Linked DNA regions of Arabidopsis thaliana. The protein of the gene in region 1 interacts with the protein of each later gene in a biochemical or structural test. Each region holds a gene or a part of one and is shown on either strand. Other genes may lie near its edges.

Evidence for each region.
Region 2: the proteins of AT5G02050 (region 1) and TERT form a complex in vitro, tested with the Arabidopsis thaliana proteins (one study listed by BioGRID).

What each region holds. Positions count from the first base shown.
Region 1 is NC_003076.8:402,361-406,296, forward strand, and holds AT5G02050 (Mitochondrial glycoprotein family protein), read right to left. Parts: upstream 1,987-3,936; 5' UTR 1,885-1,986; coding exon 1,600-1,884; intron 1,492-1,599; coding exon 1,133-1,491; intron 1,039-1,132; coding exon 879-1,038; 3' UTR 619-878; downstream 1-618. Other genes in the region: PRA1.A1 (prenylated RAB acceptor 1.A1), read left to right, coding at 8-111; AT5G02060 (Uncharacterized protein family (UPF0497)), read left to right, coding at 2,548-2,678, 2,986-3,118, 3,220-3,414; AT5G02070 (Protein kinase family protein), read right to left, coding at 3,535-3,936.
Region 2 is NC_003076.8:5,537,381-5,545,323, reverse strand, and holds TERT (telomerase reverse transcriptase), read left to right. Parts: upstream 1-1,764; 5' UTR 1,765-1,879; coding exon 1,880-2,179; intron 2,180-2,334; coding exon 2,335-2,409; intron 2,410-2,490; coding exon 2,491-2,556; intron 2,557-2,637; coding exon 2,638-2,749; intron 2,750-2,928; coding exon 2,929-3,275; intron 3,276-3,571; coding exon 3,572-3,644; intron 3,645-3,766; coding exon 3,767-3,899; intron 3,900-4,084; coding exon 4,085-4,220; intron 4,221-4,483; coding exon 4,484-5,536; intron 5,537-5,708; coding exon 5,709-6,238; coding exon of another isoform or gene 6,239-6,254; intron 6,255-6,337; coding exon 6,338-6,610; intron 6,611-6,727; coding exon 6,728-7,001; 3' UTR 7,002-7,144; downstream 7,145-7,943. Other genes in the region: AT5G16860 (Tetratricopeptide repeat (TPR)-like superfamily protein), read right to left, coding at 1-1,490; BPA1 (binding partner of acd11 1), read right to left, coding at 7,298-7,819, 7,933-7,943. UniProt on the Arabidopsis thaliana protein: Telomerase is a ribonucleoprotein enzyme essential for the replication of chromosome termini in most eukaryotes. It elongates telomeres.

The DNA.
Region 1 (3,936 bases):
GTTACAGCAACAATTCTTCATGCAAGCTTGAGAACACCGAACTTGAAGGCACGTTTTAACACATTTAGGGAGGAATTCCGAGCAGTATGGCGTAACTACAGCGAGATTTAGAGTAATGTAAGTTTGAAATATCTTCTTCTTAGTCTAACATCTATTTGCTTAACTGGATGGTTAGATTTTCTGAAATGTTGACAGTCTTTGGCAGCTTGTACCACCATGATCGTGTTCTGCTGAGGACATAACGCTGTAAAGACCAAACTTACTGCCTTTCTCCAAGATAAACCCGGTTTCGTTAACACTGTACTATGGATGTTCAATCTGGATTTGTTGCTCAATGACTGGGATCATCTGTTTTTTCTTTGATTTGAGATTTGAGCTCTGAGCTCTTTTTGCTAGCAAAATCCTCTCTTTTTTTTGCTAAAGACTTGTAAAGCTAGCTTTGTTGTTCTTCGTTCTAACACAAAACCCTTTGTGTAAAGTCCTAGAATCGTTTAATAGCTTGCATTTTTTTCTTTCTTTTTTTGGGTTGAGAGGTCTAGTAACAATAATAATGAGATAACAAGAAATGGAAAATAAACAAATGATTTGACTACTTAGCCGAGAGTTTTCGGATAAGAATAGGCAATGGGAAAATGCAAAAGAATTATACTTTATTGAGGTCGTAACATTTTTTCCAACTGACACTCGAAAGAGTTGCATCTTATATCTAGCAAAGTACCTAAAAACCCATTAAAAACATGTAGCAATATTGTTAACAAGCATAACACATGACCTCACTTTCAACGATTGCTCATGGTGATATCAAGTTCATCTAAGATAAACTCAAAAGTTTAAAGCAAAAAGAAATCTCGCTCTTATTCTCTGAACAAAGTTCAGTTTCACTTCTCGACAAAAGACTTGAGATCCTTGAGCCATTGAAGATACTCTCTGCTATCTTTGTTGGCCACATAATCTGCCAGAAAGGTAGTGAAGCTTGGTTTAATACCTCTGATCTCCAAGTACCTGTGGAAAGCCTTCTGCAAATTCTCATCCAAGTCACTGCACATAACACAATAACCAAATTCAATCACATAACAATACCCCAATCTCATATATTCCAAACAAGAACTCACTATCATTGAAGTAAACTTACTCAAAGTCAGGTCCTTCGTAAGCAAGGTCATTATCAGATCCTTGCGGTTGTTTGATCGATAAACTATCAATCACAATCTCATCCGGGTATGCGCTGACTCCAAACTCAAGACACACACCATCACCTTTCTGCACACTAACAACCATCGGAACCCGGACTTTACCCGAGCTCTCTTGATCTTCATCGTCTTCTTCATTGTTTGGTTCTGCTTCCTCTTCTTCATCTTCATCATCATAAGAAGCAACAGAGTCAACTTCCACTTGGATGGTTTCATCCTCAAATTTCCTTGTCAGCAACACAGTTCTCTCCCCTGAATTATCAATGATTTCAAATGGAAACCCTTCTGGCTTATCTTCCAACTGTTTTTCCAAAACATTTCTAATTCAGATACAATTGTTCTAAACCCCAGAAATATTAAAATCTCATGAATTCGAGAAGAATCATGTATATTGAAAGAGAGAACTTACGAAGTCAGTGTCATGAGGAGCCTCCTCTGCGACGGCGCATTCGATTTCAGATTCGATAACGCTAACAAGATTCTCGTCGGCGGTTGTTTTAGAGATCGCACTTTCCGTCGAAAAGCTCGAGACTGAGAATGAACTAACCGATCCACGCCTGATCTGGTGGCTACCACGAATCAGCCTCTCGACGGAGACAGCGCCACTGCGGAAGCTAACCGGAGATCTACCCGCACGGAAAGCAAGATTGGCTACTGTTGACGAAGCTCGACGAAACACGGTGCTCAACGCCATTTCTGAGGATTCTAGGGTTTTCCTTAAAAGTGAAAAGAGAAACAGAAATGAGGGTTTTACTGAGAGAAGAAGAGAGGTTTAAGGTTTGTTTATAGTGCAAAGCATTATGTAGGAGATAAAAAGCCATTTAATAAGGCCCAATTACTTAATGGGCCATAAGAAGCCCATATATTAAAAGGAATTGGTCATTCGTACAGTGAGAGAGGAATGTCTGTGTGTGGACACGTCCTTAAAGGCAAAAGGAGAGAAGAACAAAATAGCTCTTGCCGGCGTCAGAATTGCGTCACTGTTTCTTCCAACTTCAATTTTAATATCGTTGGCTTGAAGTTAAGGGAAACATAATTGTTCCTCCAAAAAAGCAGAATTAAATTTGTGGTAGATACTTGTTTTTAAATTCATATAGCTCAAAAAAGTTGTCATTTTTAATGTTGGTTTTCTGGTGGCGATGCTCTTAATTACCCAATTCCGTACGATTTATGATCATAAGTCAACTTTTGAGATTTGGGTTTGTGAAATTTTCCTGAATAAAATTATGGGTTTAGGGTTTTTATGATCAATTTCCTGTAAAGTAGCGATTTTTTTCTCCCGGGGATTTTGGTGAGGAACAGGATAGAAAGTCTTGGTTTTGTTCTGTTTATTGTGTTTGTTTTTGGGTTCTGATCAATGAAGAAGATGATTGGGAGTCCTGGAACAATGAGTGGGTTGATACTGAGACTAGGGCAATGTGCAACTGCTGCTGCTTCCATTGGTGTTATGGTTTCTTCTTACGACTTTTCCAATTACACTGCTTTCTGGTAATTGTCCATCTTCAATCTCATTGGTCTTGGTGTTTTGGTTTAGTTTAGTTTAGTTGAAGACATTGGACACTGATGTATCAAAAATCTTGACTTTGTAGTTTTTTCTTGGATAAACTTTTGAAGATAGAGCTAACTGAACTAGTAATTGTGTATGATTAACATTTGCCTGAAACTTTGACAAGATTTTTTTCTTTGTTTGGTAAAAAATATGTGGAAATGGAATTATTTCTATATTTCGATTACTGTATGGGGTTATCTCAAAAGATACAAAATGATGATAGATTGCTTTTGCCAATGATTTCAGCTTCTTAGTCGCATCTATGGGTCTTCAATTGATATGGAGCTTTGGACTTGCGTGTCTTGATGTATATGCGATAAGGAGAAAAAGTGATTTACGAAGCCCTATCTTATTGAGCCTTTTCACTGTTGGTGATTGGGTATTAAACTTATCTTCCATTTCATTATATGCTTATTCACTGTTGGTGTCTTGTTGTTTTAAAGGTTATTTGTTTGATAGGTTTCTTTTGGAATTCTGCAGGTCACTGCACTTCTCGCTCTTGCAGCCGCGTGTTCCTCTGCAGGAGTTACTGTTTTATTCACTAAAGACACTGAGTTTTGCAGGCAGCAACCCGCTCTCTCTTGCGATAGGTTTCAGATTTCTGTTGGTTTATCTTTCTTTAATTGGTTTTTAGCTGCTATATCGTCTCATACCATGTTTTGGATCTTGATATGATATCAAACAAAACCCATCTCAATGATTTTACAAAAATCCATTTCTATGAATTGTTTTTCTCCAATCCATAACCGGAAACAGGGCAAGGGTACAAGTCATTTTGGTAATTTTCTAAGACAGCTATGTCTCAGTAACCTCTTGTGACAGAATATTGATGATGTATTCAATCTCATCAGCAACCTCTTTCATCGAAGGTCGGTTTTGTCTCCGTTCGTTAAGGCACGCAGATGCTAAATTCCCGAGCTGCTGTATCGTCTGCATGTCAATCTTGTTAGCTGTCTTCTTCAGCAGTGGATCGATGCATTCAGTCAATCTCTCTTGATCCATCATCTTGTTAATATACATCACCAGGTTCACATCTTCCTCTTCTCTAGTGAAATCTATCGCCTTCTTCGATGTAACCATCTCCAGAAGCACAACCCCGAAGCTGTACACATCGCTCTTATCAGTTAGCTGGAAATTCCGGTAGTATTCTGGATCGAGGTATCCCAATGTACCTTGCGCACCCGTGAAGATATGGCT
Region 2 (7,943 bases), 5.1 Mb from region 1:
TTGCCAATTCTTAGTGCAGCCAAACTGGCACATGCCACGAGGGCACATGATATGGTAAAAGCATTTGGTCTTGTTTGGCAATCTTCCTCAAACATCTCAGATAAAAGTTCGAGAGCTTTATTTGCATCCCCGTGCTGGGAGTATCCACCTATCATCACAGTCCAAGTCACAACATCCCTTTCCTTGGGGGAAAGTGAATCAAACATAGCACGTGCAGTATCAACCTTTTTGCACTTAGCGTACATGTCAATCAGTTGATTGATTACCATATTCTCATCACCATGACCGTTCTTACGCAAGTCTATGGGATATTTGATGGCATAACAATGAATCTCTTTACCATGCATCAATGCTCCAACAGAAGCACAACCCGAAAGAACCGAAATAAGCGTGACTTCATTTGGTTTTATCCCAGAAGACAACATCTGCCTACACACACCCAAAGCTTCATATCCAAGTCCCCGTTGAGCATACCCTGAAATAGCAGCACTCCAAGTAACAACATCCATTTTTATTTTCTCTTCCTGCATCTTCTCAAATAACCTAACAGCATCTTCAAACCTTCCAATCTGTGAATACCCAGCAACCATAGCATTCCAAGATACTACGTCCTTCACTGACATGTTCGAAAACACCGTGTTTGCCTCATCCATCATCCCACACTTTGCATACATATCCACCAAGCAATTCCCTACAAACATATTCTGTATCATCTCACTTGTGACTGCAAAACAATGCAATTGCTTCCCTAGTGAATGAGTTCCTAGGGAAGCACAAGGAGGAAGAACATTCACAAGGGTAATATTATCAGGTCTACATCCGAATTCATTGGTCATCCTGCTAAACATTTCAAGCGCCACCTTAGGTTTGCCTAACTTTGCATAACTTTCTATTATAGAGTTCCACGATACAACATCCCAAACAGACATTTCGTCGAACACCTTCCGTGCATCACTCAATGAACGACAACGGGAATACATAGCAACAAGCGCATTCCCAACAAAGACATTGGAGATAAATCCAGTTACCAGAGAAAGCGCGTGAGCAGATTCTCCACAACGAACGGAGGATATCTCGCCGCAAGCCTTGAAGACGAAGGGGAATGTGTAATTATCCGGCGTCCATGACAGAGAATGCATAAGGCCGAACAAATAGAGACATTTATTGGCGCAGCCATTGTCGCCGTAGCTGCGAATGAGTGAATTCCAATGGTAGACACCAGCGTCAGATGGAGGAAAACGACGGAGGAGAGATACGGCATGAGATAAGCAACCGACGGAGATATAGGTGGAAATGAGGTGGGAAGTGAGATTCAAGGTTAGGATTCCGAAAGAGAGGAGTTTCTGGTGAATAAGCTTGACCTGAGAGATGGTTTTGCATTTGTGAATAAACGGCGGTGTTATCTCCGGCGCCGATGTCGAGAAGAGAGAGACTTTAATGTACTGGTGAGATTTTGCGGCGGCGTTGGGGATGAGAAGGCGGCGGATCATACTACTGTAACTAGAGTGGCGGGTGATTTCTGCGTTTAAACTAAACAAATCAATTCGGTTATATCCCGGTTTTAGATTGGAAATTTGAAGAAAGTAATGAAACCGGATGTGAAAAGAAGAAGAAAGTATAATAGACCGATTAAAATTTAAAGCGAATTTCGGTTCGGTTTATGTGCTAAGCGACCTGCGTTTGCGGTTGAGTGGACGCTTTGGATAGCGTTTGTAGCTCAGCTTTGAATTGTTTTGAAATTTTCAAAATCGCAGTTTATAGTTTCGAGAACCCAGAAGACCTTTAATCTCCCGCCTCTTTCACACCATCAGACTCCATTATCGAAGCTCGTTCACTCTTCTCTCTCTCCAAATTCGAGAGAAAGGAGGAGGAAGGTGTAATGCCGCGTAAACCTAGACATCGTGTACCGGAGATTCTATGGAGGTTATTCGGAAACAGAGCCAGGAATTTAAACGACGCAATAGTAGATCTGATTCCTAACCGGAATATCCAGCCGGAGCAATGCCGATGCCGGGGTCAAGGTTGTCTCGGTTGCAGCAGCGATAAACCGGCGTTTCTGCTGCGTTCCGATGATCCCATTCACTACCGTAAACTTCTTCACCGTTGCTTCGTTGTACTTCACGAACAAACCCCTCCGCTTCTGGATTTCTCTCCAACATCTTGGTGGTCACAGAGAGAGGTAAGATTCTTCTTCCCACTGTACTATACATTGCTTTGAGTGCTTAATTTGAGATATTTCAAGACGTGGCTACTCCTTATAAAATGCCTCTATGTTATCTTATTTTGTATGATGTTGCTGATTTCTAAACATTTTGCTTCAATTGAGTTTATCAGATTGTTGAAAGGATTATTGAAATGATGCAATCTGGATGTGATTGCCAAAATGTGATATGTGCCAGATATGATAAGGTGAATTCTTCTTCTTCCTTCTCAAACTCAATGTAGAGTGCTGATTTTCTTAGCCTAATGATTTCTCGTCTCCTTTGACAGTATGATCAGTCGAGCCCTATTTTGGAGCTATTGACAAGTTCATCTTGGGAGTTTCTTCTCAAGCGGGTTTGTTCTCAAACCCTTTTGATGATTTACTTTCAATATTCGAGTTTGCGGTCACTAATATTCAAGTTCCCTTGTTTATAGGTCGGTCATGACGTCATGGTTTATCTTCTACAGCAAACATCAATATTCTTACCATTACTAGGGAAAAAACACCAGCAAGTGTCTGGACCTCCTCTATGTATCAAGCATAAGCGTGAGTCTCAGAATTAAACTTGTATCCGAGCTCTTCTGTTGGCTTTCTTTTGAAACTTCCACTTTCTTGTTGGTTCTCTGAATACTTATGATTTGTCTGTGACTGCTTGGTTATCGATTATCAACTTCTGGTTTTTAGTTCATATTAACTTAGTAAAGTTTTCCTTCTCCATGGTATAGGGACATTGTCAGTCCATGAAAACAAAAGAAAGAGGGATGACAACGTTCAGCCACCAACGAAAAGGCAGTGGCTTTCTTCAGCTGTCGATGACTGTCCTAAGGATGACTCTGCAACTATTACGCCCATAGTTGGCGAGGATGTAGACCAACATAGAGAGAAAAAAACTACTAAGCGTTCAAGAATATATCTTAAGCGTCGGCGAAAGCAGAGAAAGGTCAATTTCAAAAAAGTTGACTGTAATGCTCCTTGTATAACTCCCAGTACAAATGGTAAAGTCTCAACTGGTAATGACGAAATGAATCTGCACATTGGTATAAATGGAAGTCTCACTGATTTTGTAAAGCAGGTAATGTTCGTAACAATGATATTGATCAATCAAGTTTAAGTTGAAAATGCACAAGTTTAAACATAAAGTTATTGCTTAAAATTACTAAGAGACGTGTATAAATTGCTCTTGATTTATCCTCAGCCTTGAGAAATTGATGGGACTATTTTTGTAGTTGTACTTTGGTGTATTTTAAAAACTGTATCATTTATCTTGTTGTATTCTGGTGGTTATTAATATTCTTCCTGACACTTCATTACCTTCAAATTCGACAATCTGTTCTTGTATTTGTAAGATTTAATCACTGTTTTTTGTAGGCTAAACAGGTTAAAAGAAACAAGAATTTCAAGTTTGGCCTCTCAGAAACGTATTCAGTTATACCACCAAACCGTATCCTTCAGTGGTTTTGACATGTTCAATGACTTGTAGCAACGATAGCTTGATGGAAGTTTAAACGTTACTCTTCTCTATACAGTTCTTCTGCATTGTGAATGATTCCTTATGATATACAGACATTTTAAAAACCTTGAGGCCCAACTGCTCTGATTCAAAGCTCCTAATGAACCATATATTTGGTGAAGTAAATGTTTGGTCAACGACGCCATCTCATGGCAAAGGCAATTGCCCCAGTGGATCTATTTGCTTGTAAGTCATCCATTTATTCTTGTAAGTTCTTCGGCTTACTCTGAGACTTGGAGCATGTATTCAGATAATGTAGAGCACATATCTAAGTAGTCTGAGTTATAAAAGGAATTTGTTTAAAAGTTTTGTTGAGGTAACTGATGCAAAGAAGAAAATGATATCATGATGTCTTTTACATTGATTTGCAGATACCATTCATTGCTCAAGTCTCTTAAAAATCTAATAGGAAAAACAAAGTCTTCACATTTAAAAATGCTACTAGACAAACACTGTCCTGTTCTCTTGCTGCAAGAGGATGCATTGAAGTCCGGAACGACTTCTCAGGTTGATATTTTTCTTTTAGAGATGGTTTTCATATTTAATTTCCCTAGCGTTTTTCGTTTGATGTCTTTTGAGTATTTCTATTTCAGAGAAGTTATGTTGAATATTCGAATATGTACAACAAAAAGAAACTAGAAATGGAAAATCAACACAGTTGCTACTTTATAGACTTTGGATATATAGTGCAAACCTGCATAAGAATTCATATCCGTGGCACTTCCAAGTGCTTCCTTGAAGTGACGAACCTTGCATATCTTGTATTACAGAGTTCAAGGAGGCAAAAAGCAGATAAGCTGCCTCATGGATCAAGTTCATCACAAACGGGAAAACCCAAATGTCCCAGTGTTGAAGAAAGGAAGCTGTATTGCACGAACGACCAAGTAGTTTCCTTTATTTGGGCCATCTGTAGGTACATTGTTCCAGAAAGTTTGCTTGGGACCACTCATCAGATGAGGGTGCTTAGGAAAAATATAGCGTGGTTTGTTTCAAGGCGACGAAATGAGAAATGCACAGTGAATCAGTTTTTGCATAAAGTGAAACCATCAGATTTCCCATTCTTTGCTAGAAAAGAGTTATGCTGTATGGTCAACGGACATGAACTCCAAAGTGAATCCATCAGAAGTACACAGCAGATGTTGTGCACGAAATGGATTTCTTGGCTTTTTTTAGAGATTGTCAAGAAATTGGTGCACTTCAACTTCTATGCCACTGAAAGCCAAGGAGGACGGCTAAATATTTATTATTACCGGAAAAGGAGCTGGGAAAGATTAATAAGCAAAGAAATTAGCAAAGCCCTTGATGGATATGTCCTAGTAGACGATGCTGAAGCTGAAAGTAGCAGGAAGAAGCTATCAAAGTTTAGATTTTTACCAAAGGCCAATGGTGTGAGGATGGTGTTAGACTTTAGTTCTTCGTCAAGGTCGCAATCTCTTCGTGATACACATGCTGTTTTGAAGGACATCCAGCTCAAAGAACCAGATGTTCTTGGGTCTTCTGTCTTTGACCATGATGATTTCTACAGAAACCTATGCCCATATCTGATCCATTTAAGAAGTCAATCTGGAGAACTTCCTCCTTTGTACTTTGTGGTTGCGGATGTATTCAAAGCATTTGATTCAGTCGACCAGGGTAAGCTGCTTCATGTCATTCAAAGTTTTCTGAAAGATGAATACATCTTAAACAGATGTAGGCTGGTCTGCTGTGGGAAGAGATCCAATTGGGTAAACAAAATACTAGTCTCGAGTGACAAAAATTCTAACTTTTCAAGATTCACATCAACTGTTCCATATAATGCACTGCAAAGTATCGTGGTTGATAAGGTATGCTTCTTTTTGACCTAGAGCTTTTTGATCTTTTTGCAGAGGGTAAAATACAAAACTATTGGACTACTTAAAAAAATCTCTAGAGATCTCTTTTCTTAGTGCTTGTAGCGTCCCTGTTGTTCTTTACTTATTTGCTTAACGGTGTTATGGTTTTGGTCCAACCTTCTAGGGAGAAAACCATCGAGTGAGGAAAAAGGATCTAATGGTTTGGATAGGAAATATGCTAAAGAACAACATGCTGCAGTTGGATAAAAGCTTCTATGTACAAATAGCTGGAATACCTCAGGGACACAGATTATCATCCTTGTTATGTTGTTTTTACTACGGGCATCTCGAGAGGACTTTGATCTACCCATTCCTCGAAGAAGCCTCTAAAGATGTGTCTTCTAAAGAATGCAGTAGAGAGGAAGAGCTTATAATTCCCACGAGCTATAAGTTACTGAGATTTATTGATGACTACCTTTTTGTGTCTACCTCAAGAGATCAGGCGAGTAGCTTCTATCACAGGTTGAAGCATGGATTTAAAGATTACAACTGCTTCATGAACGAAACAAAATTCTGCATAAATTTTGAAGATAAAGAAGAACATAGGTGTTCTTCTAATAGAATGTTTGTGGGAGATAATGGAGTTCCTTTTGTCAGATGGACGGGTTTGCTTATTAATTCCCGCACATTTGAAGTTCAAGTTGACTACACAAGGTCTGCCTCATCTCCTGTATGTTTCCTTCATAAGTATACTTGTTTGGCTCTGTTTCCTCAGCTTTTATTTATAATTTTGCCTCAAATTCATGGAAACAGGTACTTGAGTGGCCATATAAGCTCAACTTTTTCTGTAGCTTGGCAGAACAAACCAGTTAGAAATCTTCGGCAAAAATTGTGTTACTTCTTGGTTCCGAAATGTCATCCAATTCTATTTGACTCGAACATCAACTCGGGAGAAATCGTCAGGTTAAACATCTATCAGATCTTTCTGTTGGCTGCAATGAAGTTTCACTGTTATGTCTACGAGGTGTCCCGGTTTTGGAAGCTTCATCCTCAAACTTTGTTCAAATTCATCACAATATCTGTCAGGTATGGAATCAAAACTACATCATATGTCTGTGAGCATTTCGGTTTTTGGATCATTCTGATTTGAGTTATTCGGTCTTTTTTTGCTTATTCGGTTCTTGATTTCTTTCCAACTGATAGGTACATGTTCAGACTCATAAATAGAAGGGTGCGCAGAATCAACACTGGTTCTAGTTTCAGACCAGTTCTTAAACTATACAAAGAAGAAGTGATATGGCTTGGCTTAGACGCTTATATTCAAGTTCTGAAGAAGAAAAACTCGAGATATCGAATGCTCTTGATCTATTTAAAATCTGCACTTTCTAAACACTCTCTTTCTCAGCAGCTATCGTCGGAATTGAGGTATGCAACAGACCGGTCAAACTCTTCTTCGCTGTGGAAGTTGAATTATTGAAACTGATCTTAACTAGATTTTATCATCGAAACTTAGGTAGATCCTTTAAATTTCTATTTCAGTCATTTTGATAATCTAGGAACAAAATGGATTTGTAACATTTAGGGTAAAGAAAGATTTAAATGTCAACTTATTAAATATGTATATTGGAAAAAACCCAAACTATAGTCTAATAGTGGTAGGGAAAATCCAGGCATAGCTTATATGGTACATCCCAAAGACCAAACCAGATTTCCAACTTCCATGTCAAAGAAACCAACAAGGAGAAACAAAGGAAACTGTTTAACTTGATGATATTAGTTCTTCGAGTATTCGGACGAATGAATCGGAGAATACCCTTCTGGCAGTTGCTGCTGCGACTGTGCTGGTTGCGATGGTTGCTCAGCTTCAACCTTCTCTTTTGTTTTCTGTCCAACCTCTCCAGCTGCTTGAGCCACTCTATTGAATGCTCCTGCGGCCCAGCTCACACCAGTTAACACGTAACGGTTCTTCATCACAGCGCTTCCTGCACTGCTCACAGTCTGCTCCGCAGCTGCATACACAGACTTGGTCCTCTCTGTTACCTGAAAGTTTTGGTCCACCGCCTTGATTTTTTCGTTCACCAAGCTTGTTCCAGCTGTAAGTTTCTGGCTAAGACCGATTTTTTGGTCTAGTGAAGCAACTCCTGCGGTGGCGGTTGAGGTGAAACCATGTTTCTCATCAAAAGCTTTTGCTTTGCCGACAGCATCTTTCCCAAGAATGAAACCCTTTGCTAACATGCTGCTCACAACATCTTCTGCCTTCTGGACAACAGATTCTGCACCGCTGCTCTGTGTTTCCTGAGAAAATTAACACAAATTAACACCTCTACGAAATTACTGCTCTATTGAGTGTTGAGATGAATACTTTTCACTAATCAAAAAGAAGAAAAACAGTATGAAGAAGACATTACAGCATGAGGGG